4 linked regions of the Mytilus edulis genome follow. The protein of the gene in region 1 binds, or shares a complex with, the protein of each later gene. Links are inferred from orthologs where the notes say so. Each region holds a gene or a part of one and is shown on either strand. Other genes may lie near its edges.

Region 1 (7,988 bases):
CCCTTACAAGTGTATTCTGTGCATGCTTATTCCATGAAATAGGGGTTCATTTTTAAAGAAGTCTTTGACTTTTCACAAAAAACAACTTTAGTCTTACCTTATCATTTAGGCATTGTATCAAAATAACAAAAACAAATATACCTGGAAGTGTTTTTTGTATTTCGAGATGACAACATTTGAAGAAACTTAATAAACTTTAAAAACTCAGTGAAACAAAAAATTAATGATACATCTAATATCATATAATTATATAAATTTCCATTGAAAAGGTTTTTGATTTACCTGTGTAGAAGAAAATCAATAACATCAAACCTTTTTTCTACATGTTACTTATAAGGAACATGAAATTCTAGTTTGTAAACATGTAAACATTACATTTTTTGTATATTAACTGCTGGCACTCATTGTAGTTTATTGTGTTAACATTGCAAAACATCATGTCTTTGTTATGCTTCTTTTATTTGGATGATGTTAGTTTATAAACCAATTAAGAATTGAACTAAGTGTTGAGTGCAGAAAAAGTTGAAATTAACGTACATGTACATGTATGCAAGCCATAAAAGTGGAAGTGAAAAGTATAAAAGTATTTAAATGTGTCTGATGTTGTGAAAAAGTGTTCATTCAATCAGACATAGTTTTATAATAAAATACTTTTAAATTATGTCCTGTAAAGGTTTATTTTCAATAAGAGGACATCACAGTCTGCACCAAAAACTTTTTCAACTACTAGTCTGAAGATCAATATTCTGACATTTTTCATATTAGTTCAAACAAAGTTTTGCAAAAACTTACTAGTCCGAATGAAATTTTAATAGTTTGGGGCATCGAACTAGAGGCTAACAGTGCAGACTGCATCATCTTATGGTGTTTTATATACATGTATCTCAACTAGTTCAATTCACTTGTGTATATGTAACTGTGTATATGATTACAGTTGTATAACGAAAGAAATCTCTGTATTACTTGAAAATTATTACACCAGGATTTTTCGATATCACAAACTAGTCAAAATATTTAATAGATTTTACCATCAATACAACATTGTACAAGGATATCATTCCTAAACATAAATAAACATGCAGACATCTCATACATTCAGGTATTTCACATCCAATCTTTTAAGGTTATATTCTTTATAAAGCACAAAAATGTCTGCATTCACCTCAAAGGCTAGCCAAACCTTTAAACAGACTTATTCAGAACATGCAGGAGGGATATTGTTATGATACTGTTTTCAGGTCATTAATGATGGCATATATTGGTATTAATTTTGATTGACTCGTAAGGTCTTTGCATTGGAAATATGGAGGAACAGGAGAGATTGTACTTGATTTTCATATAAAGAAGACTTATTTGATAATCTTTCAATCAGTTTAATTGTGGTCTGGAGCAGGCATGAAAGTAACTGCTAGTAGTCCTTTGATAAGAGGACAGCATCTAATGGTCCTTTGATAATTTATGTATCATTGTCATTTTGCTGTGTTTCTTTTGTTACCTTTTCTGACATTGGCTCAGACTTCTTTTAAACTGACTTTTACTATGCATAATCATGATAATGTTGTGCGATTCTTTATTCTACATTTGCTAGAGGTATAGCAGAGGGTTGAGATCTCACAAAACATGTTTAACCCCACTGCATTTTTGCGCCTGGCTAAAGTCATGGACATGAGTCTCTGGCCTTTGTTATTCTTGTATACATGTATGTTTTTTTCAAATTTTAGTTCATTTATATGTTTTGAAGTTTAGTATGACATCCATTTTCACTAAACTAGTACACATCTTTCTTAAGAGGCCAGCTGATGCCCACTCAGGATGCAGGATTTTCACACTGTGCTGAAGACCCATAGTTAGACTTTGGCTGTTATCTGCTCTTTGGTAGGGTTGTTGTCTCTTTGACATATTCCCCATTTCAATTCTCAATTTTACAACATGTACATGTAGTTATGAACTAACTAGGAATGTAGCACTTGGATTCTAAGAAATATGGTTTAATACCAGGCCTGGATTTGGACAAGGGCAAACTCTAGTCTAAGTGGTACAAACTAATCTGCATAGATCTACATTGTTCATGTACATGCTCAGGGGCCGGTATCATAAATGTGTTTGGGCAGAAATATGTGCCAGTCCACTGGTATGCGTTATACATTGTGTTAATAGCACTATTAACACAATGTATTATGCATACCAATTGACTGGTATACATGTATTATTTGGCTTTTAATGTCGATCCAGCCCTTTGTCTATCTGTCACAAGTTTTAGCAATCATAATCTTGATTGAATTGATTGATTATACAACTGGTGTTACTATAGTTCACGATTAAAACAAACCAGTTATAAATAGAATAATGATTTTATTTAAACAAGTCATTATAATCATTACATTGAATTCAATTGAAAAACAGTACCAATTACACTTAACTGGTTTCAACTTAATATACATCATGTACATGTAATCCATCTGAATATTACTCCAAGGATTAGGCATACTAACTTCACTTGTCATCAAGCATTGATACTTTTTACATAAATCCATATGGGGTCTCACTAATTAGCGACAAGAAGTGTCAAGAAGCGATAAGAAGCGACAAGAAGCTATTTAGCGACAAGAAAACATTTTTTTTTATTAAATATAAAAAAATATTCATTTAGTCATTTTTAATATATACGGGCAGAAATAAATTGATAATTTTTTGTTATTATATTGATAGATGAAGAAATGAACATTTGTGAGGAAGGGATTGTGTAGTTTTTAATTATATGGGGACGAAGTACCCTACATGTATTACAGTAGAAAATTCAATAAAAAAAAAATTTCATTGTACTAATGAACTCAAAATCGTTCAATTTTTTTTGTCGCGTTTTTTAATTTCCAGATCTGCGCAGAAAGCATAACTCTACTTCCTTCTTCTGGTCTTGTTGTCGTGAGACTTTGATTAGTCTAGTAAAATATAGGAACTCAATACCAATATTTCATTTTTAATCATTCTTTGTCTTTGGTATGCATAAACGTTACCTGATGCATTGTGTTTCCCATGTTTACATTGAACATGACGTCATACATGTAACTTAAATAATGTCACAAGTAAAATCCTTAACAACAGAACCAAAATCGGAAACGTTACCATGCTGAATGCCTATATGACAAAATGAGAGAAAATCTAAGGAAATTCAGCTACATGTAATTACAATATGATAATTTAGTTACTTTTGCTTAAGTCATTATATGAAAAGTCCATTCAGGGTTATGGTTACGGTATTTCCCTTTCTTTTTTTTAACAAATATTAAGTTACAAACAAATTAATTTAAACAAACTTCGTCCCCATCAACAGGTAATGCCTGCCTCATATTATTGATAGATGAAGAAATTAAACATTTATAAGAGCAAAGGAAATGCACACGCTATAAAATGAAAATAAAAACAAAGATTTTTCACCTTTCCTTTGAAGGATTTATTGAAACAATTACATGGAATATTATTTCCTTTCTAACTGTACAATTCATTGTCCTGATAGGACCAACGTTAGCTGTGGCTTCACCGAAGGTAATACACGATGTAGAACTTCAAATGAGATTAACGAGGCGCGTGTCCTTTGTTTTATTGCTACAATAACATCCAATTAACACAATATCATGTAAATAAATGTAGCAACTGAATTAAAAATGTAGATCTATGTCTATTTTTTATTTCTACCAATATTAACTTTCTTGTCCTTAAAATTGTTTTCATTTAAATATTCTTTTAATATTTATTTGGAATAAGTAATTTTAATAAAAAAAAATGTTTTCTTGTCGCTAATATTATTCTTCTTGTCACTAATTAGTACATATGTAACTAAATCCTCTGAAGTTAATATGGATTATTAATATTTTTATTATGGGTCCGTATCGACTTGGGGCCTGATCAACCCTTCACCTATATTCCAGACCCAAAATATCTGTTACACAACCTTTCTTCAGACAATGTTGAAAATTGAATGTAAGTCAAGTGTTGTGATTGCCAAGTTAGTGATATTGTTGCAGATAATGAAAAAATACTCACCTTCCCATATAAACTACAGCTCCTTTACAGGATATATAGAAAACAACTGTCAGTGTCAAAAGTGGTAGAAGGTGGTCTGGTGGATTCGGTCTGGTTAAATGTTACGCACGATCTGTTATGCTTCCTCTGTTATTGTCTTTATCCAAAAATCAGAAAGTAAAATATAATGCTTATTCTAAAAATTTGCATTTCTGGTTTTAGATGTTGCATTAAAACATAGTTTTAAATATAGTTTGACATGTCAACGTGGTTACTCTTCCAAGCCGGAAGTAAACATTAACGTAAGTGTCTTTTGCTTTATTTTTATTTATTTTTAAAAAAAATTTAGAAAAACAATTTTATTATTATTTGTTCTGACCAATTTGTGTTAAATTACTCTTAATACATATATCAATAGTTTGTTTCATATGATTAAGTTTTGTTCTTCGGGTTTCCCATTTGCGACAACTAACAATCGTCATTTCTAATGTTTACTTCCGGACACATGTCAAAGTTATTTTCGTTTTGATCACAGCTGGATTTTGTTGTTTTGCTTCATGGCTGCTGAAGACATCCAAGTTAGAATTTGTCTCCAAGAAATAGTAAAGTTAGATTTAGAGATCAAAGCTTGTATTCAGGTAAAGGTTTATTCTGGTCACATCTTACCTTACCAGGAAATCTTTCTCCGTCCACTTCGGGACAACCTCATTTGAGTAGTCAATATTCCACCACCACATCTATGTACACTATTTTACACACATTATCGGTAATTATATAATACACTTGAGTACGGAGATATCAATGTTTCATATTATCCTCCATGCATCACTGAATTAGCAATGTTTAAAATAATTTCCACATTATACGAGTATATACAGTTCACTATTTGACAGGTATGCTCTCGGCACAACAACAGTATAAATACGGGAGTACCGATGTTCGGAACATGTTATAAGTTCATAACAATGAAATATCCTCATTTCCTTTTAATATCTAAAGATCGGTATCTTGCTATATGTAACGCATACACATTTGCCTGCATATTGCATCTAATTTAACAATATTTTCACTATTTCCTTTAAGTCCAGTATAGTACAACGTACAGTCCAGAATTATTTGGATTTTATCATGACTGGAAAGTGTTCTAAGGTTGTCTTTCGATATTAAATGTAATATTTCATCGATCTGGTGAAAATATTTTTGTCGGATAGGTTCTAGAATTTGACAGTCCAACAGGAAGTGACAGAGAGTTTCATCGCCTTGATCACATAATTTACAGATCGGAGTTTCGTTTTCTGTATATCTAAATCTTTTATTCTGTAATATATAAGTGCCAGTTACTAATTTTAATTTAATTGCCAGTCTTGTTGTTTCTCTGGTCGGATCGTTAGTTGTATTTATGTCCAAAAGATGGTGAAATTCCCCAGGATTGTATGCGTCTATATTAAGATGTCGAAGAGACATATAGCTTTTTCCGGATGAAATTATTGCTTCTTTCCAGTATTTATAAACGGCAATTTGGACAGTTCTCTTCCATTGAAACTTTTTTGGCGCACAGTTTAGAAGTTGTAACGGAGATGGTAGTCCATATTTAAATATCATTTTCTTAATTGAAATAAACCAGCTGTTGCTCGATTGATCTTTGACGGTTAATTGTCTAATAGCCAATTTCTTTTCTAAATTTGAGTTGTCTTGCCTACATATGTTATTAAATAATATTAGCGCTTTTTGGTCGATTTGTGCTTCTATAGGTAAGAATCCGGATAGGATGTAAATACTCGGATCTGGTGTACATATCGGTAAAGACATAATTCTCTTAAGCAACTGTTTTTGGAACTTTTCTAATTTTAGTAGATTTGATGAAGTAGGTAATATAACTTCTAAGCCGTATGTAAGAATAGGTTGTATAAAGGTTTTGATTAGATGTAGTGAGGTAATCGGATCAAGTCCATTCTCACCATGCAGTCCTGCTGACATGAGACTGTAGGCGGCTCTCCTAGATTTAGTAATGTTCTGGTCAGTGGTTTCATTTTGAGAGTTTTTTGAAGATGTTGATCTAAGAATTCCTAGATGAGGTGATTTGTCAACGATTGGCATAGGATTTTCGTTCAAAGTTAAATTGACTGATTTAGACTGTTTCTTGCGGTTAGATGGTTCTATTTGTAAGACAACACTTTTTTGAGGCTGTAGTAGATAGTGATGGTTTTGACTATATTCAGCAGCTATATTTATGAGAAGTTGTAGTTCTGCTGGATTTTCGCTCATCAAGGCAACATCGTCCGCACAGGCTATTGCATTAACAGAGGTTTCTCCAATTGTGCATCCCTGTGCAACATTTTCAAAATTATGAAGTAAATCTTCAATATATATTTTATACAGATCTGCACTGAGAAGACCTCCCTGTTTAACTCCCTGTTGGACTGGAAACTTTTCTGAATAATCATTTGCCCATTTGACGCATGCTTCTGTGTTTTTATGTATTTCATCAATTAATATCCAAGTAGCTGGATTGACATCGGTGAAGTGTACTTTCCGTAGTAGAATTTTTAAGACCACAACATCTAAGGCAGATTTCGCATCCAGTAAAGCTATAAGAAATGGTGATTTCTTGTCCATATTTTTCTCTATATACTTCTTCTACTATAATTGCTGCATACAGTGGTGAAGCATTTGCAGTGAAGCCTCTCTGTAGTACTGACTGTAGATTGAGAGAATGTTTTCTTAGATCATCACGTAGTATGTACTCAATTATTTTTAATAGTATTGGTAAAACAACTATACCACGGTAGTTCTTGGAGTAAGATTTGTCTCCTTTGTTTTTGTAAACTGGTGATAATAGACCAATCTTTATAAAATAAGGAATCAGCCTTTTTTGAAACATAGTATTTAATAAGTCAAATATTGTTAAGCAACAAATAATTGACCAGAATAAAAAAGTCGCAAATATTGACTCCTATAAGTCGATAAGTGATCAAAATTGGTTAACTTCAAGACCCACGCATATTTATAAGGAGGTCATGCATCTAAATCAAATAATGACAACAGTGAAAGACAATGCTTTGTCTTCTAAAGAAAAATATGAATGAGAGTCTAAAAAATCGGAGATAATGTTAATTAACCTTACAATGCAACCACCTGGAACTACACTTAATGAGGAAAAACATCTGTGTTTAGTAAGGATGTTCAATTAGACAATTACATATAGATAGCTCAAGTCCTTGTGAACTCTCAGACAGGTTTTTGCTGTCATATGTTGTGTAGTTTGGCCACCAAGTGAAATTAAGTTTTTTCATCAACATAAATAGACCTAAACAAGTCTGTCATTTTATGACTTACATGTAGATAAGTCTAAAATTGAAAACACATTTTTATGATAAATACATGTTTTGACTTCTTTATTGTCAAAAACAAAAATCGACTTGTTTATGTCTGAGCTCTGACTGACTAGAAGAAAAATAGCTCTTTCATAAAGCCATCTTTGAAAGAGTTGCTATACCTATTCCAATGCACATTATAAAACCAAGAAGAACTTCGAGACTCCATCAACCGAACACTAAAAGATATGTACAAATCAGGCCAAACAAAGATATCTACAAATACAGCTTTTTCCCTAGGACCATCAGAAACTGGAATAAACTACCAGATGAACTATCAGAAATTGAGAGCAGTGAGGAATTCAAGACCAAACTCACCAAGCTCCTCTGTAGTGGCTAAGCAACACAAACAATAGATACTAGTAGAAAATGTTTTTAACCTGCACCTGTATATAAATTTTTAGCACAAATTTGGAACTATTGGTTGTAAATGTAGAAAGTTTATTGTCATGTTGGAAGACTTCAAAAGTTAAACTATACTAGAGTGATGGGTCGTAGTACCCTCTGAGTGACGACATAGCTTTGCTTTGCTATGTCGTAGATGTAGATGTAGATGTGACTGTCACAATTGTCTATTTGGCCTTTTTAACTTTT
Region 2 (8,175 bases), on another chromosome or scaffold:
TTGGTCTATTTTTCTTAAACTATAAGTAATGTGTCAACTATATATGTTGTATAGAAGCATTGTTAGCTGTACCTGTCTGCCTGGCATGGTTCATCTGACCTGGACCTCTTTTTCAAGGTTCATTGGTCTTTGTTTAGTTATCTTGGTTAATGTTAAGTTCATGTGACAGTTGTAATAAAGCTTAGCTTTATACTTAGGACCATCAACATAATATCAATGATTAGTATAGAAGGCGAGACATTTCAGCGTGTGCACTCTTGTAAAAAGAAACCATTATAGGGCAAACTATGGTCTTCAACACAGAGCCTTGTCTCAACCAAACAGAAAGCAGTAAAGGGCCCCTAAAATGACAGCGTAAAACCATTCAAACAGGAAAAGCAACGGTCTAATCTATATAAAAAAAGAGAAACAGGAAACACTTATGAACCACAACAAACGACAGCCACTGAACATGTGGAGTTGATTTCACAAAAAAACTTACGACTAAGATTGATCGTAAGTATACTGATTTGTTCATGACCTAAGACAAATCTTAGTTGTAAGTTTTTAGGTGAAATCGACTCCATGTTTCTGACTTAGAACTGGTGCAAGTTTATCAGGAGATTTCAAGAATTTTATGTTAAATGCAGATGAAAAGAATACAAGAATGCTAATACAACACGCTGGTGATTTGCTGATACTTTCCAGTTTTAATAAGTCTTGTGTATATAGGACAAGATCAAAATATCAATGAATCCATTTGATAGATCTATTTAATTTTGTTGACTTGAATGATGAGAAGTGTGAGTAAGAACTGTTGTGAGGGTGACACAGTAATGTGTGAGGCACCAGTGTAAACATCCCATTTTCAAGATGATATGGCTGCACATTCAAATGTCAAAGTGAATGAGTGGCTTCAGTTCATTAGTGGTTTAAGTACATCAACAACTTTATCACTGGCCTGTCAACATTGAGGTTGTGAGTTGCCACCCTACCTGGTGGCAGGTGCGTTTAATTCCATTCTTGCACTCTGGCTTCCTTCAATAAAACCTGACTACCACAAAATAGCCAAATATGTTGAAAGTGGCATTAAACACTAACAACAACAATTAATTAAAATAAAGGGCTGTCAATAAGGATTTAAATGTCAATGAGAAAGCTTAGTTCTATTATATGATTTTCTTAACCATATTTCACACATTTGGTATCAAAATTCCAAAAATATAAATCTAATAGGAATTTTAAAAGGGGAAGGGAAAGGATAATCTAGTTAAACATCTTAGCTCAAAACTCAAGCCTGCATCAACTAATCCTTAGATTTTTTTTAGGTCTCATCTATGAAAGTAGAGGGACATAATATTATTCTTTCTGGTCTGTCTTGATGTTTTGGTCACACAAATTCAGTACACATGTTTATTGTGATGTTACTTTTTATAGAATATATGCAAAATTATGATATTTACTCACATTTTCAGAATCACTAGATAAAGAGAATAGATAGTATATAAAAGGCATGGTATCCTATGGATGCATATTGTTGTTCCATTATGCTATGATTCCTAAAATGGGCACAATTTGTATTACTGTGTCATTGGTCTAGCTGAGAAGGGTTGCCGTTACTCCTTTCCCTTATGTTAACAATTAAATGCTATAAATACAGAACATCAAAACCTTTTTTATAACTTGTAGAAAATAACAGTATTTACAGATTGTGAGGTTGTCATAAAACTGCACGAGATTCTGTTAGAAAATTTGTCAAACATATGCAAGTCTTCTTACTTCCAAGGGTTTGTGTTGTCAGAAGCATGGCACAACTGCCTCATTAGATGTTTTACACCCAAACAAATCCAGAGAAAGAAGGGAAAAGTGTTTACATTTTCCATTATATAGTTTAAAGATGGTGATTTTAATCATTGACTTCTTTATACCCTGTGGCTAAATTTCTGTCCCTATCCAATACAGTTCATTTTCAGTGAAGTCTCAAATTTCCTTACCCACTCTATTGCAGGAGCTCAATTGCATGACCTAACTATTGCATCTATGTATTTTTTAAACGTTGGAAAATCATGAAATATTTGTCACTGGACGTAAAGCAAACAACAATCAATCAATATTCCTTAGTCTAAGCACAAAGACAGATTGCTAACCTTTTAGCAAAGATTTGTAGGGTGCAAGATTGAAGAAGACAATGTCTGATGGTTTTGGACAAAAAGACAACTTAAGAGGCTCCAAGGGCCTATGGTTGCTCACACAGCTCTATATGCATCCTCAACAATGCACATTGTAGACTGGAAAAGAACACATGACAAAAATCTTCGTTTATGTTGATGTAGTGCTGATAATTTATTTTCTGTTTACAGTTTCTCTCTATCTTCTTTATTGTATTGCCAAATTCACAAAAAGAGTAAGAAAAATCATCATTAAATCATTGTCACTCCTATAAAAAGGCTACGATTTCAGTAAAATTTGACTAGTTTGTAAATCTGGTCTTGTTAATTGATAATTTTATGTAAAGTTTCTATATATATCTTTTTGAAATTTCATTAATTAGGCAAAAATCTTTATGCTGGCTGAGACTACTATAACACAGTTATAGTAGTCTCAGATGCTGGTAATCTTTGCTATTTATTAAACTTGTCTATAGATCTATCCTAATAGTTTTCTCGATGAAAGAAAGATCACTTAAAATGGCCATGGGTTAATTCGTCATTCAGCCCTGTTGATTTGTCTTTCTATAATGAGCTTAATCATTTTTGTCTCGCCTGCGACGAAAGTCTCAGAAGGCTAGACATAGAAGTTGCTTTACCTGCATTGATGGAACTTCCTATCAAACTGTCTCCGAACTCTATGTGATAGATCGATAGTTTGTATGAAGTTTGACGACTATTTTGAGGCGCTGTCCCTAGGTCATGGTCAAGTGACTGGATTAATTAGCAATTTCCAATGTTAAGTTTTCTGCTTATGTTAAAATTGAAAATGACAAATTACAAAGTAATGGACCTAGTCCTAGTTTAGTTTAGTTTAGTTTAGTTTAGTTTAGTTTAGTTTAGTTTAGTTTAGAAAAAAGGCTGAAAAATTAAAGAACTAAAAAAAGGAAGGACCACATCAAGATCCTGCTCATATCTGTACATTTTATTTTAATATGCATTCAACCGTTTTGTATTTTTTTACCAGCTAATACTGCAAGATGATTCTCGGCACTTTGTTCATGAGCGTAGCCTAAATACAAGCGGATTCCTGTTTATTTAAATAACTCATTTATTTCCTTTGACCAGGCTTTGAAGAAGACATTTTCGAAGGAAGAACTAAGGTTTACTTTCGACCTCATTTAGCCCATTTCATCATGTCAGGCATTGTCATTACTCAAAACCATTAAATGTCTTCTGAATCAATTTCGTCTTTAAATTCTAATGATACTGAGAAGATCCTTTACTAATTTTCAGTTTTTGTGGACAAAGGAACATAAATACATTGTGGAACCTTACAAATAGTACAATGTATATGCATGCATGTTCTTAGATACCATCTCCCATATCCAAATCACATCATGCAGAAATCAGTGGCGGATCCAGAACTTTTTATAAGTTAAATTCTCCCTCGCCCTGCTCGTCCGAATTTAAAGTATTTAATTTCTAATTCAATAGGCTATAAACAAGACAAACACAGATATAGGATTAGTTGCTCGCAGTAACATCTTATTTTCTCTTGCGATACAATATTTTATTTTACTGAATTGTACATATTTCTTCAATCGAAACATTATATAAACACATGACATATAACATTGTTCCTCTTTCGCATCGTTTCTTTTCCCCCGGCTAATGCCTCCAACGCCTGTACGTACAATAAACATAGCAGCAACTGCACATATACCTATGTGACCAACTTCAATCCGACGTAACTGCGAGCACCTTCGATACTAATACATTTAAATCCCAAACTTTATATAGTACCTTTAAACCCCACCCATAAAAACCGCCAAAACTTTCCTCGTGCCTCCTGCACCTAACATCAAACATATAAATAGTACATACTGTTACAAAACCAGTATCCGAACTAGTTATACTAGTTCCCATCTGTAAATATTAACTACAAATAGCAAACGGGAAAAACCCTATTTCAAACGAAATAAAATACATGTACCACTGACAGCCATAAAAGTTTCCCACGGTCAGTCATGATTTGTGATTCCCTGTATAATCAACCATATTTTCCACTCGAAAGGGCCGAGTAGCCCCCCCCCCCCCCCCCCCCCCCCTCCCAACCCCTGGCACCTGGATCTGCCTATGAAAATCAAGGATCTTACTATACAAAATTTAATTCTTGTGGAAATGTATCTAATGTGTTCCTCTCCTAGCTATCCAAAACCAATAAACGACGCTGCTAAATGGTTAGTGTCTGGTACAGGTAGGCCGTTATTATGCAACATATTTTAATAAAGAATCTTGTGGCAAGAACAAAGAACTCTTATTGTCAGAAAACACTGTCAAACATCTAAACATACTATCCACACTGATCTGTGTCCACACTTGTTAATTTATTTATATCCATCCCGAATTTTTTCAGTATTTAGAATGATCACATGACTGTCATGTCAAAATGTCTTCTGAAAAGTTTGAGTCACTCGAGGACGATTTGTCAAGTGTTTTGGATAGCATAAGAGACAGAGTCGAAGGGAAAATCCCAAATTTTGAGGGAGGTTGTAAATATATATTACTTATTGTTTTACAATTTCCTAATATCTATCTGAGACTACTAAATGCAGACATCACTGCATTCTGATATGTTGTAAAGTCCGAGACTGAGTCAGAGTTGGGTTCACAAAACTGTCAAAGGTCTACATAGTCCGAGATTACTCTGACGTCCAACGGCTGTTTTGCCAGACAAGTCCCACGGCCCCAGCTTGTCTGGCAAAACAGCCGTTGGACGTCAGAGTAATCTCGGACTACGGTCTACATAATACTTCTTAACTTCAATATGTTGAAGATTACAAAAAGGCACATACTAGGGGGTAGTAGTATTTAAATCTGAACATATTTACATATAAAAAAAAAGAAGTTTTTTTTGTTTTTTTTTTAAATATTTTATTTATATATTATAGATGATTTTGATCTAGCAATGTATTTGTGATTTTGCACCAAATTTAAATGCTTCTAAGTCTTTGCTACTTGGTGTAGCAAGAAATTCCACAACCTAATTGTTCTAGGGAAAAAATAAATATAAAATTATGCAAGACTACACGTATGTATGGGGACAATACACCTTATCGCTACATCTACATGGATAATCCGTAAAGAGTCAGTTGACTCATCACACGAATATGTCAAAATTAAAGTTGTGTCATCCAAAATGTGTTTTCTTTTAAAATCATATGTACAGGTGCTATTCCCCACTGACCTGAGAATCTATCTCGCTTGACCTGTTGAAGTCATACAACAATCACTTCTCCATTGTGGCATCAGATATTTTGTATTATCGCACCACAGGTAAATTAGCACATTGTGATTGGTATAACGCCGTCACCTGGTGACCCCTTAGGCCTATGGATCCGTAGGGGGTTAGTAAATTTCAAAGGGGGTTCGTGACGTCACGTCTACTGTTAATGGTGACTTCATCTATTAATGTTGATGTGTTTCATTGCTTATTTTTCTACAAAACGCAGCAGAAAAAGTCCAGCGTGCGACAAACCATATAACTTATTTCATGACATCAAAATTTTACGGAAACCTGTGTAATGTTCAGTAATGGTGGACAAATAGCGATAAGGTGTATAACAATCTCGTCCCACAATGCACCTTACAATTTACAGTAAATATAATGAAGTTACTGTTAAATCTATTTATAATATCTTACCTGTAGAAAGATTAAAAGAAGCAAACAATCAATTTCATTAAAATAAGGTCTTTTATCCAGGGATGGGGTAATTGAAAATGTAATGGTAATTAAGTGTAATGCATTACAATTTTCCATGTAATTGAAGGTAATGTGTAATTGAGCATTTTTTCAATTACTTGTAATGGTAATTTAATTAATTACAATGAAAAAAGCATGTAATGCTCAATTACTTTTGAATTACATTTCAATTACATGTACTTTTATGGTGTCTATGATAAGGATTTATGTTTAATAATATAAATTGTAAAATTATATTTATTTTTCAAATATTGATATCACATACTTTCTGTAATTTATTCTTAAGTTTTTATATTACTTATTTGACCAACAGAATTTTTTTTAAAGTTTTATCATCATTATAAAATTTCATTTGGCATTTGAATCGGGAAAATATTATGTTTTGGAACAATCGATCTGTACATAATAGCATATATATATATTGTATTGATTAAATATAGTTTTGACAATTATTTTTATTTTTCTCATGTTCTTATTTTTTGACAGAGGAGAAAAAAACAGCCATTCGCCATGCAGAAAGAAATATTGAAGAAGCAAACTTCATTGTAAGTGTAAACTGGTTAAAATATCTTGTCAATAATTTCCTGTTTACAGTGAATACTTCATCTACCATTTTGCTGCCACCATCAATAAACTGAATATATAGAAAGCAAAAGTTCAATGTTCAACTTGTAAATATGTTGATGTTTACAGTCTACAAATATTTTTTTCATCAAAATATTTATGAATGAAAAACACAAATGTTGACCAAAATAAATGAATACATAGTACATGAATTAATTGTGCAAAGTTTATGTAAACAGCAGAAAATATTGCCGTAGTTTGTTGTCAAGAAAAAAAAATATATAAAAAAGAAGATGTGGTATGATTGCCAATGAGACAACTCTCCACAAGAGACCAAAATGACACAGAAATTAAAAACTATAGGTCACCGTACGGCATTTAACAATGAGCCAAATAGTATATGATTTTAAAAGGATAATTAACATAGTTACAGCCGATTCCATTGAGTGTGTAGGCAAAGTCAATATGTTTGGTTAGCTTGCTTGCCAGCTGAACAGTGAAGTCATTATTTGGTCAGGTAAACTACCCTCCTTTAAAATTAGACTAGTCTGAAAGATTAACAATCTATCTGTCTGTAGGACTAGGCTACTTCAAAAGGAGTGTAGTATACCTTACCTAATAATGACTTCACAGTTCAACTAGCAAGCATGCTAACCAAAGATATTACCTTTGCCTACACACTCAATGGAACCGGCTGTTCTAGTTTTTTTTAATAAACTGAAGTATTTTTTCTAAAATTATTACAAAAAATTCTAAAAATCAAATATTCTAAAATTTCAGATGGGTGTGGATTAAATCATCAGAGTAAAAGATAAAACCAAAGTTTAATCCATATTTTTGGTATTACATTTCAGTTACAGGAAATGGAAAGTGAAGCAAAGATGGCTCCTATTTCTTACAGATCTCAACAAATATCCAGAATACGTAACTACAGACATGACTTAGATAATATAACAAAGAATCTGGTAAGTTCCAATTGATGGTAATAACAGTAAATAATACCTGGTGAGGATACAGAATTTGATGTTAGACATAATGGTGGGGGTGTACCTGAGAATGTTAAAGAAACTTAATTTGACACAAGATTGTCACTTAATAAACTATAAATTACATTTTTGAAGATGAATTTTGTGGCCTGGAAAGAGAATCAAACAGGTTTAGAAAAATTAAAATAAATATCATGTGGTTTTATAGCCATGCAAAAAAAATGAAATAATGACAAAGTTGTAAATGAAAATTCTGTCAGAAAAAATCCTCCTGGCCCTCTAGAATACCCTCCCCTAAAGTCAATGTACATGTCGTACAATATTATATCATATGCATAAAATCCCTGAAACTCAAACTGAGCATCTCATAGCATACTTTATCATATTTTGGATAGTCTTTACTTTTTATCAACTAAGGGAGCTACCATTTGATTTTTATGGGGGGGGGGGGCTAGGATGAAATTTGAAAAAAATAGGCAGGACAGGAGTTTTGAGCAAAAAAAAAAGGCAGGATGAGACACTTGCAAAAAAAAAAAAAAAGTCAGGATGACAATTTATGTAAAAAAAGTCAGGATAAACTAAAAAAAAAAAAAAAAGCAGGACCGAATAGAGTGAAAAATAAAAAGGCAGGACAGAGATTACAACTAAAAAAAAATGCAGGACAAAATTTTTCATCCTAGCCCCCCCCCCCCCCATAAAAATCAAATGGTAGCTCCCTAACTATAATTGACTG
Region 3 (8,090 bases), on another chromosome or scaffold:
TAAAAAAAAAATCCCTACCTACCATGCCTACCTACCCTAACTTTTTTTTAGATGCAACTTGAACCACACATACTTTTTTATTTGGCCTCACATTGATAGGACAACAGAAGGTTGATAAGCACATGGTTAGGCTTAACCAATATTAAACTTGGTAAAAATAAAATATGCAACAAATATTTATGCAATAAATTGTTGACACAGATATATGTCTTGCCTTTTAAAATGTAATTTTGATACATATATGTAGTAAAATGCAATTGTTGATATCAAAATGGCTGCAATACTTTTAACATGTAGTCTATGCAAGACATCTAAAGTCAATAAATCATGACTGAAGGTGCAGGGCTAAATAATCTGTTAGGAAATGAGCAAGGCTAATATAACTGCATACCAATATGCTAGTAGTGGTTCAATGATGAAAAATTCTAAAACAAAATACTAGTAAGAAAATAAAAGATATAACAACATGGTTTTAGATTATGGAAATTTATCATCTTTCTACTAGAGAAAACAATGCCAGTCTATTGCTTGCTATGTGGTATTGTGGGTTTTGCTCATTGTTGAAGGCCGTACACTTCCATGTCATTTTGTCTCTGTAGGAGAGTTGTCTCATTGGCAATCATATCCCATCTTCTTATTTTTATTTTAACAGCAAAAGACAAAATGACGTTTTTAATCAACATGATAAAAATTGTGAGAAAACAAGAAGATTAGTTGGAGATCCAGATTTGGGGTTCCAGCAGTTGTAGCATTTTTTTAAAATGGCTGGATCCGCCCCAGAAGATTTAGAACCTACCATGTCATCCAAGTATCTGTTAGAGTCTTTTGATTCTGTTTCTATATCAAACGCAAGCTGAAAATAGTAAAATTATGAAAGAGAACTACCGGTATATAAAAATTGAATCAGTAACAGATTAGAGGGCCTACAACTCCTCTGTTTGAAAAACATATTTTTTTATCATGTTATGCATATAATCTTCCAGTTTTGCTTTACTTGCTTGCTATATATATTATCAGTTTCATTCAATAATTAAGTGCTTGTATGCACTGATGGGTACAAATTGCTTAAATTTATCAGTGGGAAGCGAAATTAAATATTACATTTTATAAAGAATTGAATTTAGTTGATTCAACTACAATTATTTGGAGTGAGGAAGGTTAAACTTCAATTGTAAAGCTATCTTCAACAATGACAAAAATATGATATTTTAGAACAGATATTAGATTCATGCACCTTGCACAAGTTACAGTAAATTCAGAAATTTGAATTTGAAGTTTGAATTATTGCAATTATAACATGTACATGTATAACACTGTCCAATTTTTCGCAATAATGAAAACATTGCAATAATTTCTGAATTTACAGTATTCTGTATTAAGTCAGGTTAGCACATACTGATTTCAGTCTTGATACTTTGTCTGATAATCCATCAACTCGTCTTTGGTTTTCAGAATCAAGCATTTCTTCTGATCTAGACAATCCTGAAATGTAAAAGTATATGGTCAATTTAAAAAAAATTACATGTCATTGCCTAGGGCCACAATTATTTTGGTTTGCCCAAACCCTACCCAAACATGTAGGTAGGCATTTTCTTTTTTTTTTGGAAAAGAGAATTTATCAGATGTTTATAATTCTTCATGGCTATCAGAATGAAAAAATATTTTCACATCAGGACAATAAAAGATTATGAGAAGGCAGCTATTTTCTGGGTACATGTAGGTAGGGTTAGGGCAAACACACCTATTCTTTTTTATGGCCTAGTTAAAATGGTTTCTAAATCTACATGAATGTATGTATTCCATTCTACCCCATTATTAATCAAGGGTATACCTACATTTGTACATGTAGAAATACTTTTTGAAATATATTTATTTCTTGGCAGGCACTCTAGCAATGTCTAGACTTATATATTTATTAGGAGAGTTAACTCATTTTTTTGTATACTACCATTTTATATGAGTAACTGTAGTAAAATACAAAGGAAATTTATAAAAATTGATTGCCTGAAATACATATTAAATTTACTTTCCAAGCATTTGTTAAGCTATATTAATAATACTATTTACATGATTTAAGAAAGATATCAAAATTTCCTTAAATCTAGTTATCAAAGAGAAATTAAAAATTTAGAAATAAAACCATAATAAACATACATGTACATCATTTTATACATAGTGCAAGTATATACATTTCTAAAAGCTTGTACAAATTTTAGAATCATCTGAATGAAGAAACCATATGCAAAAAGTAAAATCACAAAAATACAAAACTTAGCTATAGAGGAAAATCAATTTGAAAAGTCCATAATCATGATAATCACATTGCAAAATCAAATGACAAAACGCATCAAAACCGAATGTACAAGAACTGTCATATTTCTGACTTGGTACAGGCATTTTTAAATGTAGAAAATGTAGAAAATGGTGGATTAAACCTGGTTTTATAGCGCTAACCCTCTCACTTTGATGAGTACATGATCATTTTTTGTAAATTCAGAAAGGTATTATCTGTAATGACCTGGTACATGCTATAGAGTTACATGTGTATCTATTTAACTAATAAAAGAATTCAAATATCGGAAAAATATTCAACTCTTGACGGAACAACATTGATAATTAACTCATGCGCTACACTCATTTGTGAATTACAGTTGTTCAGTCACCTGTTGAATATTTTTCTCCACTTGAATTCTTCGATTAGTTATTCTGTAATTATATTTTTCTTCAATGGGTCCCAAATGTAATGGTCATAATAGTATGATATGAATACACCTTATAGATCTTATACATGTAGTTACATGTATTTGTTTTGTCCGCCATTACATGTCATCACACAGGTTCCTGTAAAATTTTGACGCCATAATACAAAATATCCGACTCCACAATGGAAAAGTGATTGTTGTGTGACGTCAATAGTTTAAGTAGTACAGATTCTAAGGGCCAGCCAGGAATAGTGATATGGTGTATTGGGGGAACATTAGCACGCACACGAAACCAAACATGAGTAAACGGGAAATAAAACATCAAAACACAAATAAAAAGGCGGAAAACGTTGTACGAAATAACTCTTAACCGCCCTCTTAGAGTAAGGGTTATAGACAATTATGACATATCAGGCTTTAACACTTTCATGCAAACATGATCTGGATACATACATCTGAGACTACTATAACACTGTGTGATACAAATGCTATAGTAGTCTCAGCATACATGTACATGATATAGGAAGATGTGGTATGAATGACAATAAGACAACTCTCAATCCAAGTCACAATGTTTTGATTGAAGAAACGAAATAAAAAAAATGACGCAGATAACTATGGGTACACTATTGTGCGCGAAACGAGCGTTGAGAGCTTTAAAGCTGCTCTCACGAGACGTCAGTAAATCGACGGCGCCTTCACCCCGTTGTATTAAAGCCAGAATTGGTAGCTACGACGTAACCATACAGATACAGACAGAGACGCAGATAACTATTACCATTCCGGTTGTTCCTGTTATCTGTCATTTTTTTTTCGGAGTGTTGATGTGTCAAAATCTCCAGCAAAACATTTGTACAATGTCAAAAATTATTCTAAACAAAGAGTGATAGATTGCGATTAATAAAACGTTTCAATGACATAACTTTTTCATTTTTAATACTTTATCCGTTCTCGGATAAAAGGTTGAAAAATTTCCGGAAAAGAATAACATTGATTAGACACCAAATATTACAGTGTGTTTTTATATGCCTTTTACATGTTTTATACACCTTTATTCTAAAGATGGACCACATTTCCCCCTATAAAAACAAGATCGCAAATAAAATATAAATTATTGTGTAGGTATAGTGAAGACTGTCATATAACCGATTGGCATTCACGGTATAAAGTTTTACTCAGTAAACTGACTATTTACCAAGAGGGTACTTAATTGCTGACGAGTTTTGCACTTTTCGTTTATTTAAGATCTTTTTCATTAGATTTATAATCAAAAAGAAATATGAAACATAATCTCCTTAAATAACAAGAAAAAGAGCCCTCAATCGGACACTCAGCTGACGGGTCCTTAAAAGTTTTATTTATAATATGAGGAAGCTGAGACTACTGTGTTAAAACAGTCTCAGATTCTCAGGAGGAATTAAGGCGTTATCTTAACTTTACCAGCTAATGAAGCCAATATAATTAACTATGTCCTTACATACAGTTTACGGTAGTTTTGATCTAAAATAGAATAATAAATTGGAATATTTAAGTTAAGGGTCCATAATGTTTTGTACTGAACACAATTTTATTGGCGATTTATCTGAATGACAATGCTTACATTCATTATCTTGTGAAATTTTCATATCCATTTTTCTTTCTTTGCAAATGTTAGAATGGTTGGCGATTGATCTGGTATCTCAAAAAAAGATACCTCTGATATCAATAATTTAAATAGAATCATATTCAAAACAGTGTGGCTGTGACTATTGATTGACGACCTAAATTATCCCATTGACTGGGACAGATTATGTGAACGTTTGTCTGTAACGACCACTGCTCACTGTGTACTTGTTAAAGACACTTAAACTGTGGGGTCACCAAAGGTTCTCAATGCCTGAATAAAGTAATTCGAAAAGCTAATCAGGAATAACACGATGTTTTGATTTATATCAATAATATAAATCAAAACATAAAGGTTATTTCTGGTTAATTTTTCGAATTATTTTAATATTAAAAACTTTAAGAACCTTTGGTGATCCCACAGTTTAAATTCTATAATAAGCAAGTAGTGAGCAGTGGTCGTTACAGACAAACGTTCACCTAATCTGTCCTAGTCAATGGGATAATTTAGGTCGTCAATCAATGTCCACAGCCACACTGTTTTGAATATGATTCTAAGATCTGTTCGGATTTTTTTCTTTCTGAGATCTGCGATTTTTCAATGAATGGAGACATAATTACACTCTGGCTAAGACCATCGAAGCATGCACGTTTAAATCCTGCCTTTCGAGTTATCTTAGCGCTGTTCTGTGTTTTGCATATTCAGTGTTCATGGTGTTCGTCATCTGTGAAACAGATACTCCATAACGGTCATCCAACTCATTATGATCTTCGTAATTTTTTTGTAGGCATGACTTTAACTTCACCATTTGGAACTATTGGTTAACACATTGTCGAATTGAGTCTTGAATTACGTTTTTTTTCAAAAATTTTCTCATTTTTTTTGTCTGATATTTTAATAATTGTAATATGATGGCTTGTACGTTATCTTAATAATTGTATTATGATATGATGGATAAAGAAAATTATGCTTTCACTGTTTTGAGCTAATCATCTGTTCAGCAAGGCTAAAAAAAAGAAGAGTAGTGATCGATATCAAGTCGAAAATAAACTAAGATTTCTAAATTGAATTGTTCCAAATTAATTTTATTTTCTGTCGGGATCTTTATAGCAATACATTAAGGTAAGGGTTTTTCTCATTGATGAAGCCCGTACATTTGCACATAGTTGCTCATTTTACTTTATTTAAACTTTTTATGATAGTTGTCTCATTGGCAATCACACCACATCAGTCTCATTACAGCAGCACACAAAACGCAGAATCGATGAATCTAAAGAATGAGCACCACTAACACCCACTAAAACCGGGGTGATCGCAGGTTCTCCGGAAGAATAAACTGATCTTTCTCTACATGTAGTTCCAGTCATGTTGCTCTAAGTTCAATATCTACGCATGATAAGTCTAATTGGGTATTTACATTGATGGAAAATGAGACCGGGGTTGTGTTTACGATGATCGGAACATATTCGTTGTCGGTCTGTGAAACTGATATGCCATATTGGTCATCCAACTCGTGATGGTGTCTGTTATTTTTTCGTGGGCATGACTTTATAACTTCACCACTTGGAACTTTTGGTTATCACTTAGTCGAAATCTTAATCAACTCCTGATAGGAATTATGTCCTTGAATGACGGTTTGTTTTTATATAATTTTTTTTCCGTTTTTTGCCTGTAATCTTTACTATTATGTTATGATAGATAAATAAAATTATGCTTTAACTGTATTACGCTAATATTCCGTTCAACCAGGCTATAAACAATGCTAAAAAGGTCAAAATGTTTTATGAAAGTCCATAAAATGGCAACTACAAATAATAGAGAAAATCTATCTCTCCCAGGCCATGCGCAAACACCAAATTTAGTTTGAATATCATAAATTGCATTTGGACATGCTAGGCTTAACACTCGTCATGAAATATCATTGAATCTTGTTTTATACATTGTATTCCCTTTTCTAAACTCATCAGACTTTACAATTTATTTGTAGTGTATGTTTTTAATTGCAATTTATATCGAACCCGTATCAGAACTTTCGTATTTGTTATTTACGTGTTGGTGTGAATCTGAAAATAGCATTGAATTTTAGATTTTCGCCTATTCATTGAATCGAGGAAGTTGTCGCCGTCCTATTTCTCTTATTCATGAGGAAAACACCTTGCCTATTTCTCCGAGTAAAAAAAAAATCGTCAACTATTTTTCACTGGACGTCACGTACATAAATCATTAATCAATAAATAGACAATATAAAATATGCGTATTTTTAACCTAGAAAACAGTCAATATTTATAAATTCAATCCATCAACCATTAAACGTAACAACAAATCGACCAATACAGCGGTTCCAACCACTCGATATAAAGAACTTGTCACTTGATACATTGCAAACATTTTATAACCAACAAACCAACCAACCAATCAATCAACTAAAATTGTCTATCATATATTACACTCAGGAAATATGGAATGAATTTCTTTAACAATTGTTTATAAAACATACATTTGATACACAAATGATTGTATACATGTTCGTTGGTAGTAATTTTACAAAAGCTGCTCCTGTACCTATAGACATCTAATAAATCAATAATAAGACCATCGACCATAATTCTTAAGTATATATATATATATATATATATATATATATATATGGCTTATTATACTATGAAACACATGCGTTTGAGTCATATTTTTATTTATTTACATACTTAAAGCAACAAGTATGTTTTGGTCAAACTCCAATTAAAATAGTGTCACATAAAATTGAGGTAGCTTATACAAATAGTAGCACAACTAATTCATACATAAGAATAAAATCTTATGTTCTACATTCTCAAACTAGAGACATGTAATACATACATGTATATTATATGTACCTGCCCAAACGACTTGTTTGAACAAGAACTCCAAACGTTTAGGTATGCAATGGCAATGTATTGAACTGTTCTTTTTACCATACTGCATGCCTGCATGCGCACTAAAGTAAAATGTAAATGCAGCCATATGTTTTGTATGTTTTCTTCCAATATACATTGTATATGTTATCTATTTGTGCGTAACTTTGTCAAATATTTCTTTATTCAGAATACACAATTGCATAATGAGACCGTTGCTAGGACACACTTTACGACATCTTCTGATACACTTTACGGCATTCCAGATAGGCAACTGTTCCTTTAGCATGAGATAGGCAATTGCCATTGCGGGCGATTTTCGGACTCCGCCTGAACAGTGAACCAAGACTTTACCTGCAATAATAAAATGGTATTGTATTTTTCCCCTTAGATACAGTATATGAAACAAAAAATATCGTATAAAGTGTAAGTTTGTTTAGTTATAAAATATAAAGGGTCGCTATTTGATATCAGGGGGCAATGGGGTCCAGGAAGAATTTTTTGATGACGAAACCTTTGTTTTCCATTTCTAACACCCGCTTTTATCTTCCACAGGTAAATATGATTATAACATCGTACTAATTTTGTTCACAACTTTTGCAAACTTGCTGAATTTGGTTTTCCAGACTTTTCATTTATATGTAACTCAAAATGAATGATCACAAATTTGAAATAGAAAAGGAGGCACTGACTGCCATAATAGGAGCCCCCTACAGACATGCTTCTGTGGTCACCTATATAATCAACAAATGTTCCCCACAAAAAAGGGGGGCTGGAACAGCCAATGCTAATTTTTAGATTTTATTTAAAATAATAAAGAAAACAATTAACTAGCTGTCGATAATTTTGCTCGTGTATATATAGAGAAACAGATACCGTTATACCCTGAATGAT
Region 4 (8,087 bases), on another chromosome or scaffold:
TCAAAAATTTCATTTTCTATATCCATTTTAATACAAAAATCAGATTATACTTTTTTATGTTAATAACTATCTAAATTAAATGTCAATGTGATTCAAACAAGTATGTTGATACAAGTAACAACATGTTTATACCTTAGAGTTAGCTGTATCAAATATGGTTTCAATAAGTAGAACATCTGCTCCTCCATCCAGTAAACCTTTAGCTTGTTCATAGTAGGCATCTACTAATTCATCAAATGCTGCAATTCAAAGCAAAACTACATTAATTCTAACAAAACATTAAGCCAAACATAACATTGAAAGAAAATTTTCACATTATATATGGAAACCCATACAATTAAGAATTATAAATGAATATCATAAGACTGTTCACGTTATGACATCACAATACCTTTCAAATTCTTAATAAAACTCTTTAAAGGATTTTTTTCCCTATTCTGCCAATGCTTGATTGGTCTAAACTACACACAATCAGGAGGTAAAAAATCAAAGTTTTTATGAAAATGTTAGAGTTATCATTCTTTGACTACTGAAAGGGGTAAATTTTAACAACACAAAATTTCAACACAACTTGGTGAAAAATGCAAGTCAGTGTCAGGTTTTTTGCTTACCAAGCAGAGTTGGAGAATTAAAAAATAACTAAACATGGCCTATTTATACCTAAACACTTACTTATATTTCTAAAATCTGGTTTTTCTACTGATGGTGAAATTGACAAGGTTCTATTGGTTGGTCCCATGGCTCCTGCAACATACCTCTGTACACCTGAAATAAAAAAAGTGGAAATTTTTTTTCTTAAATGCTCTGGCAATTTTTAGATATAAAGAAAGCCAATGTATACATAAATATACATGTATGTTAAACATTTTCAACAATATAAATTAAATTTAATTACAAATTTAGATAAACAAAACCTGAATTTAAATTATAAGGAGAGGAAAGTCTGAGTATAACCTAGACTGAATCCCCCTAGTTTATCTGGAATTTAATGATAAATATTCTACTGTTACCTGTGGCTGCTGTGACATCATTAGCAGCTCTCTTTGCTAGTTTTGCTGACTCATGATTTAGTCTGTATACCTAAAACATATCAAAAGTAAATGCTGAGTGGTTAAATTTTTGCAACTGTATTAATCTTATTTTTGGAACCAACATTAAACAAGACCAGATAAAATGCCAAATACACTAACCTTCTTCTAAAATCTAATTCAAATTCAGGATCTAACAATGTGATTTTTAATGAAATAGGAAATGCAATTTCTTTTTTGTTACACTGATTTCTTTCCATATAAATTTTACCATTTCAAATAACATAGGCTTTTTTCTTCATAACTCATTTAATAACTGCAAATGTAACAGAAATATGTAAACAAAGACAATAAACTTTTCAAAATATTTTAACCAGGGCTTACTTGTGCCATGGAACATACACCAAAATCATTAGAATACATCTCACAAGCAGTAAGTTAAGAGAAACGTTTATACAAGCAGAAATGCTGTTGTGCTAAACAATATTTTAATTCTGTGCAGTTTTTGTGTCCTTTAAGAATGTTCAATAAGATCTCATTATCAGTGTGTATGTATGTGAATTAGCTTATAAATCGGGAAAATAGTAAGTTATTTCATACCATATGTTCTAAACCATAATCTGCTTGTGCAATGGTGGTACCACTGAATGTGTTTGTCTCAACGAAATCAGCTCCTGCTTCAAAATAATCCTGAAATGTAAAGTATCAAATGTAATTTAATTCTATATTCATTCTTGCGATTCTGAAGACTAAATTTAATAAAAGTATCTGAATAAACAACTGTATCATTAGTCCTTGAGTAACATGATATGCCCATCTGCATCTTATTCTATATGTTACCATAAAACATCCATAAATCAGAAAATAAAATGAAACATGCATAGCATCATCTTATATCTGTATAAGATTAAAAAAAAAGCCAGGTAGCCTTTGTTGTAAGTTTTCCATAGAAATAAATGTGCCAAAATCGGATTGTTGTGATGTACATTCTTTAGTAAGGTACAGGAGCAAAATCATCACTATTTTTGTTTCTTCTTTAAAACAGTATATAACCAATCTGTATCAAGTCAATGCTTTCATCAAGTTTCCAAAGAAAATAATTGTTTAAGTTATTGAATGTCGTTTATAATTACAAAATGTTGTTTCACTAGGTTAAATAAAAAATTGCAGATGACAAAAGCAAGTGTTGAAAACACCCTAGTGAATTGATGTCGAGAAATGTGAGGTGATCATGATGAACTAAGGAAAGCAACTTCTTAACCATAGTCACCTAGCAGCCTGAGCCCTGTACATGTACCTACATGTACTAAAACTGTATCTGATCTAATCAAGCTATTAGCATGATTAGCATCAACTTAAATAACATTCAGTAATTTACAAATTATACCTTATGAATTTTATAAATAATGTCTGGTTTGGTCAAACTAAGCAAATCATTGTTTCCTTTCAAACTTTTGGGATGATCAACAAATGCAGTACCCCTGAAATCCTCTTCCTCAAACCGTTGCTGCTGAATCATGGTTCCCATTCCGCCATCAAATATCATTATTCTTTCTAACAATGTCTTCTCTATAGAGTTTTTCACTAAAAACATAAATAAGAGGGTCATACAGTGGGAACCTTCATGATGAATAATGGATAAAAATCTTACCAATGACTTTAACGGTAATTAAAGGTGCAGGAAGATAAAATGTGCATTCTCTTTGTCAATAAAAAATCACGATAATTTCTTTCCAAAGTAAAGGTATCGGATAGTTATTTGGGACCTCTCATGACTTATGATGAGGCTTTTTTGATAATTCACAATAAAATGGTAACAAATTTGATGCTAATGGTAGCCCAAAATGATTTTGACGCCTGACAGTAAAGGTCATTGCCTTCCCTCATATAATTACAGTATACGCCTGACAGTAAAGGGCATTGCCTTCCCTCATATAATTACAGTATAATCAGTAAATCAATCTGTCAACATTTGTGTCTATAAGGCCAACTAAAATCAATTAGTAGATTTTCATCCAAATTTATGAAAAAAATGGGGTGGGTGGGAGAATTTTATTTTTTAAATTTTATTTCATATGAAACCCTCTTGTGATGTGTTCTTCATATACATGATATATATGCAAGTGTAATAAAACTTATATCATGTATGTACATGCATAAGGTTCCATATATAATTTTTCAATAAATATCTCTGATTGGCAACCACTGTTCTACATGTAATTGCCGCTTTAAAAACCTATTTTACATGTTTTATAGTAAATAGCAAAAACGTACAGAAATGCTCTCTTCAATTGCAATCCCCACACAAAATTTTTTTTGTTGCTTTCTAAGCATTGGTACATGTGTAGTCCCAATGAAATGAAGCAAATGCATTTGTATGCAACACAAGTATTATATGTATAGAATAAAATGAAAAATAAGTATAGAATAAAATGAAATATAAGTATAGAATAAAATGAAATATAAGTATAGAATAAAATGAAAAATAAGTATAGAATAAAATGAAATATAAGTATAGAATAAAATGAAAACTCAAACAGTGTTGAAATAATAGGGTTGGTCCTTATGCAAGATGCAAATATAGTTACAATATAAAACATGAAGTTGTTTAATAACTCTATCGAGGGTATTTGGACAGAGGATATTTGCTGTTTGTCAACAAAAGACGACAGCCATGGGTAATTCTAAATCTAAGGGCTTGCTATAAATGAGTATAAATTACTAAAATGCGTATGTTTGTCAACTTTTTTATCTCAATATACGATCATCAATTTAACAAGTTCATGCTTGTGTCAATTTCTTTATTCCAGTCTAGGTTTTTGTACCAATGTGTTTCACGCTTTGGGTATCATTCACAGGCCAAATATCCTGACACAAAGTCATTGTATAAATAAACTAAAAATCAAAGGTGTTCTAATCACAAACATTTGTGACATACCGCGATTTGTGTTTTTGGACAAAGCATATTAATCGTAACCCAAATAGTTCATGCACATCTCTATAACAATCTCTATTTTCGGTAGATGATGTTGTCATCATAGAGTAGAAGAATATGTTGACTTAATCATTAGTAAGATAACTCTAAGAAACGAGAAAAGGAAAACCGCAATTTGAAACAGGAAGTTTTGAATGAAATGAAATTATAGATGGTTACCGGTAACAAAAATTAATAAATCCGGAAATCCTAATATTTGCAAATTATAAAAAACCGGGGCAGGAAGATTTCAGAGGGGCGGGCGGGGATGAAAATCTATCAATTAATTTTAATTGTTAAAATGTTAAAATTATCAACATACAGTTACTCATTAAACATATTATAACAGTGAATCCCATGCCAATCATGTTTTTTTTTAAGTGAAAAATCCTCATGATTTAAGGTTTGAAACCCTTTGGCTCTTCCAAAAGTTACTTTTCTCAACTACTTTCTAGAATTATGATATAATGGGGAAGGAAATATTGATTTAGACATGCAATTTTGTACTTACATAAGAGGAAAAATCAGTCATAACTATTTTCTCAACATGCAGATTCATAATGTATGAAATATTGGCCACTCGCACTCCAAAATGCAGACGAATTTTGTAAGGGAGATAACTCAACACACATCAGCTGTTCTGATGTTTCATAATTTTTTTCTAAATATTCTAAGCAAGTACAAACCATTTAAATAAATTTCCTGGCTGTTTGCGGCTGGAGGCATTTTTGTAGTGTGTCTGACTGTCTTGTTGTCTTTAGATTGGTTGGGAAATTGTGTTTTCTGGGACAGTCGTCTTTTCACGTCCGAACAGTCCGCGGTTAGACAACCAAATGCCGGATAGACTTACCCACAATGCATTCTAACAGTTGCGCTTGCGTCAGGAAAGCGGAAATTACGTCTATTTTGAGTCGTGGTGGAAAGAAACATAAGAAACAGGAGTCACTTTCTGTTTATTTCAAGTATTATTGTAACTAGAACCACTTTTACTATATGATATTTAAATAGTTTAATCCCAACAAGTCTATTCCCACTTGATTATTTTTTTCAAATTAGTTCTGGTCACTGTTTTGATACTATTTGACAGCTGTCATTCACCTCAACTCATGAACTGTCATTTCATGATTTCACTGATTTCAGGATTTATGTAAAGTTGGTTAGGTATTTCATTTTATATTTAATATTTATTTTGAAATAAGACCAAATAGCAGTGCTTCACAAGATAGCAATACAGTGTTGAACATCTACATGCATCATAATTTTGACACATCATTTTCTTCCAGACTCTCAGTCATACATGTGACAGAGTTGTCAAGCCACAACTGGAGATTTGGAAATTTTCAGCTGGAGTTTGGGCCTCATAACTGGAGATTTTTTATCGACCTTTTTATAGACATACGCAAGATTTTTTCTTGCATGTTTAAACTGCATATGGGTCGTTTTAAAAAAATGTCGAATTTTCAGTACACCCATGCTAACTTTTTTATTTCTAATGGAAATTTCAGTTGTAATGGTTTAAATGAAAGCTTGTCGGATTTGTGATTCAGAACATTAATAATAAACACACCTTACATCTATTTTGATAAGATTAAACTGCAATTAAGACCCATTTTGGGGGTATTTGTCTGCGTACAGTGTCAGAAAAACACATTTCAAATGATTTTTTTGCGATTTTCTGATCGCCTTGATATCTGCAAAAGGGACTTTTTAAGAACGTTTAATATTACTCTAACGAAAAATCGTAGCTTCTATATCATTGTATGTAACATATTATCTACAAACTAAATTGAATCTGCGTACAGGAGGTTCATGTCTTTCCTGTTACCGCTACTTAAATCAGCCGTGAAATTATTCTCCCTATGAATATTGAATCAGTCAGTGTTGATCTCAAAAGTGCAAAGTAATCTTTACATTTAAAACGCCTCGTTTCTTGAACGAAAGTGTAGAGAAAAGAAATTTCAAGACATTTAGTGAAAAAAATATAGCGTACTTTTTTTCATGTCTATGCTGTTACCACCAATTTTGATTAAATACACCAACAGTATACTTGTAAAAAGTGCAATAACGTGTTGGAAACCAAATTCACAATAGAAAAACATAATCACTTCACCAAAGGGAGTAGTTATTTCACAACAGCAATCAAAAACGAAGAAATTTGTCTATCCTGTTATGTCTATCCTGTTACTATGGTTGCTATGGTTACAGTAACAGGATAGACAATTGTAGACAAAAACGTCGTTAATTTTTTTATCTTAACATATAGGTGCAAAACGAATGAAATATTTCGTTGTTTGAAGTCATCTTAAGGTTATAACGTATTAATCTTCCCAATTAAGCATTCGCAGGTGCAATACTGATATCGGTAACAGGATAGACTTTTATATAGTAATATATCAGAAACGTACGTTCCTGTTACCAATGAAATATAGAGAAAAGTAAACTAACTTATGAGGGATTTACTTGATGTTGGGTTTATTTGAAAGGGTGAAAAAATGCCGAACAATATAAATTGCTATCTTAGACTTGCATTACTGGTGGTAATTTTTACAACCTTTGAAAACCAATTTTTAGAGGCATTTTTCAGTACAACCTGTTAAATTGGCAAATAATCTATTATATTACAGAATGAATATATATAGACGTTTATTCTCTTGAAAACCATCTAATTGTCTACGTAAAACAAGCTTAACATTTTATCTAAACCTTTTCTTAATAACCCAAAATTTCTTTTGAAAATGGTAACAGGATAGACAAAATAATGTACCACCGATCAAAAAATGTTTCAACATATTTTTGTATGACATCATTAAGATTGCATCTTTTAATATGTTGTTCTTAAAGTACTGTTTGTTTTGATTTGCTTATGTAGAGGGTTGTTTGAATAAGTAACTTTTAATAATTTTTTCAATTTCAAAATTCGGCATTTTTTGAAAATGACCCATATCTTCCTTTTTTGTTAAAACACAACAATGATTCCATACCTACAAGCACCTACATAGCCATTTTAACTTAGTAAAATAGAAGATAAGGGGGATTCAAATATTTACTCATCATAATTTTATATAGTTCAAGATAAAGTGATCAGCCATCATACATAGTTGGCAAAAAGTATATCTGCTTTAGCCACATTGTCAACTTTTGTACCACTACTGAACATGTTTGTAACAGAAGGTGTTGAATTGATAAAGTTGTGGGCTATCTGGTTGGTGGCTGTCTCCATATTTTTGGTCAAGTAATTAGGGCCACCATAGTCAGCTTTGCATGAAGTGTAGTAAGCATGATCTTAATTTGGCTAGATATATACTGTGTCTTCTTTTATTTGATGCTGGGGCAAAAGTATTTGGTGATAACATACAGTTTGCATTTGTCAAATTATAAGACAAACACACTTATTTAGGTATTGGACCAGATAGAAGACATATCATATTTGAGTTGATTTTATTGTCTTTGAGGTTCAGTATAAACTAAATCTGTTCCATGTTTTCAACAGCATCAAAATTTATTAAAGTCGATGTTGATACAACTGTTCCATTGTCAGTATCACTTTTAATCATCCAGACATGTTTATTTAAATATTTAGTTGATTACTAGGTAAATGCCAATCATCTTTTATTGTTGTATATACAGTCTAATCCTTAACACCTTCACTGATTACTCGAGGCTATTTTCCTATTTACCTTTTTGACACAAATTCCATTACAGGAAACTTCCGATTTTCTCGGACTTTTCCCATATCAATTTAGAGTTTCTCGGACTTATTCCCTGTCTGTATTAATTTTGTAAACAGAAATGTCTACTGAAATTTTTTCGAGATTGACATTTTCAAAAAGCGGAAGATTTCAAATTTTAACGGGAGGGACGGAAGAGGGTCTGAAAAGCGGGAGATTTTAACTCCCGCCGGAAGAATCACATGTATGCTCAGTATCATGAACCTGTGAGGCTGTGTGTCAGTGGACTCGCCTTCAAAAATCCTATGTGTAAACCCAGAGTGCAGACACTAGTTCTCAATGCCAAGTTTTTGTGTTCTCATTGTGGTGGAGTGGGAATTAAGTTAAAAAATTACTCTTGACCCTCTACATCAAAAA

Evidence for each region.
Region 2: vesicle transport protein SEC20-like (region 1) and vesicle transport through interaction with t-SNAREs homolog 1B-like share a complex: the UniProt entries of both Homo sapiens proteins name them as parts of the SNARE complex. The link is inferred for Mytilus edulis from reciprocal best matches to the Homo sapiens genes BNIP1 and VTI1B.
Region 3: vesicle transport protein SEC20-like (region 1) and BET1-like protein share a complex: the UniProt entries of both Homo sapiens proteins name them as parts of the SNARE complex. The link is inferred for Mytilus edulis from reciprocal best matches to the Homo sapiens genes BNIP1 and BET1L.
Region 4: vesicle transport protein SEC20-like (region 1) and syntaxin-5-like share a complex: the UniProt entries of both Homo sapiens proteins name them as parts of the SNARE complex. The link is inferred for Mytilus edulis from reciprocal best matches to the Homo sapiens genes BNIP1 and STX5.

Annotation. Positions count from the first base shown.
Region 1 is NC_092347.1:13,288,962-13,296,949, forward strand, and holds the start of vesicle transport protein SEC20-like, read left to right. Parts: upstream 1-4,495; 5' UTR 4,496-4,577; coding exon 4,578-4,658; intron 4,659-7,988. Other genes in the region: ectonucleoside triphosphate diphosphohydrolase 7-like, read right to left, coding at 4,042-4,049. UniProt on the Homo sapiens protein: As part of a SNARE complex may be involved in endoplasmic reticulum membranes fusion and be required for the maintenance of endoplasmic reticulum organization. Also plays a role in apoptosis.
Region 2 is NC_092346.1:5,320,865-5,329,039, reverse strand, and holds the start of vesicle transport through interaction with t-SNAREs homolog 1B-like, read left to right. Parts: upstream 1-4,542; 5' UTR 4,543-4,578; coding exon 4,579-4,678; intron 4,679-6,378; coding exon 6,379-6,437; intron 6,438-7,310; coding exon 7,311-7,421; intron 7,422-8,175. UniProt on the Homo sapiens protein: V-SNARE that mediates vesicle transport pathways through interactions with t-SNAREs on the target membrane. These interactions are proposed to mediate aspects of the specificity of vesicle trafficking and to promote fusion of the lipid bilayers.
Region 3 is NC_092350.1:69,797,050-69,805,139, reverse strand, and holds the start of BET1-like protein, read right to left. Parts: upstream 3,556-8,090; 5' UTR 3,509-3,555; coding exon 3,481-3,508; intron 1,483-3,480; coding exon 1,397-1,482; intron 854-1,396; coding exon 797-853; intron 1-796. Other genes in the region: dual specificity protein phosphatase 3-like, read right to left, coding at 7,348-7,550. UniProt on the Homo sapiens protein: Vesicle SNARE required for targeting and fusion of retrograde transport vesicles with the Golgi complex. Required for the integrity of the Golgi complex.
Region 4 is NC_092346.1:73,716,901-73,724,987, forward strand, and holds the start of syntaxin-5-like, read left to right. Parts: upstream 1-4,869; 5' UTR 4,870-4,972; intron 4,973-8,087. Other genes in the region: methionine synthase-like, read right to left, coding at 133-239, 673-765, 1,011-1,080, 1,629-1,718, 2,416-2,612, 4,689-4,728. UniProt on the Homo sapiens protein: Mediates endoplasmic reticulum to Golgi transport.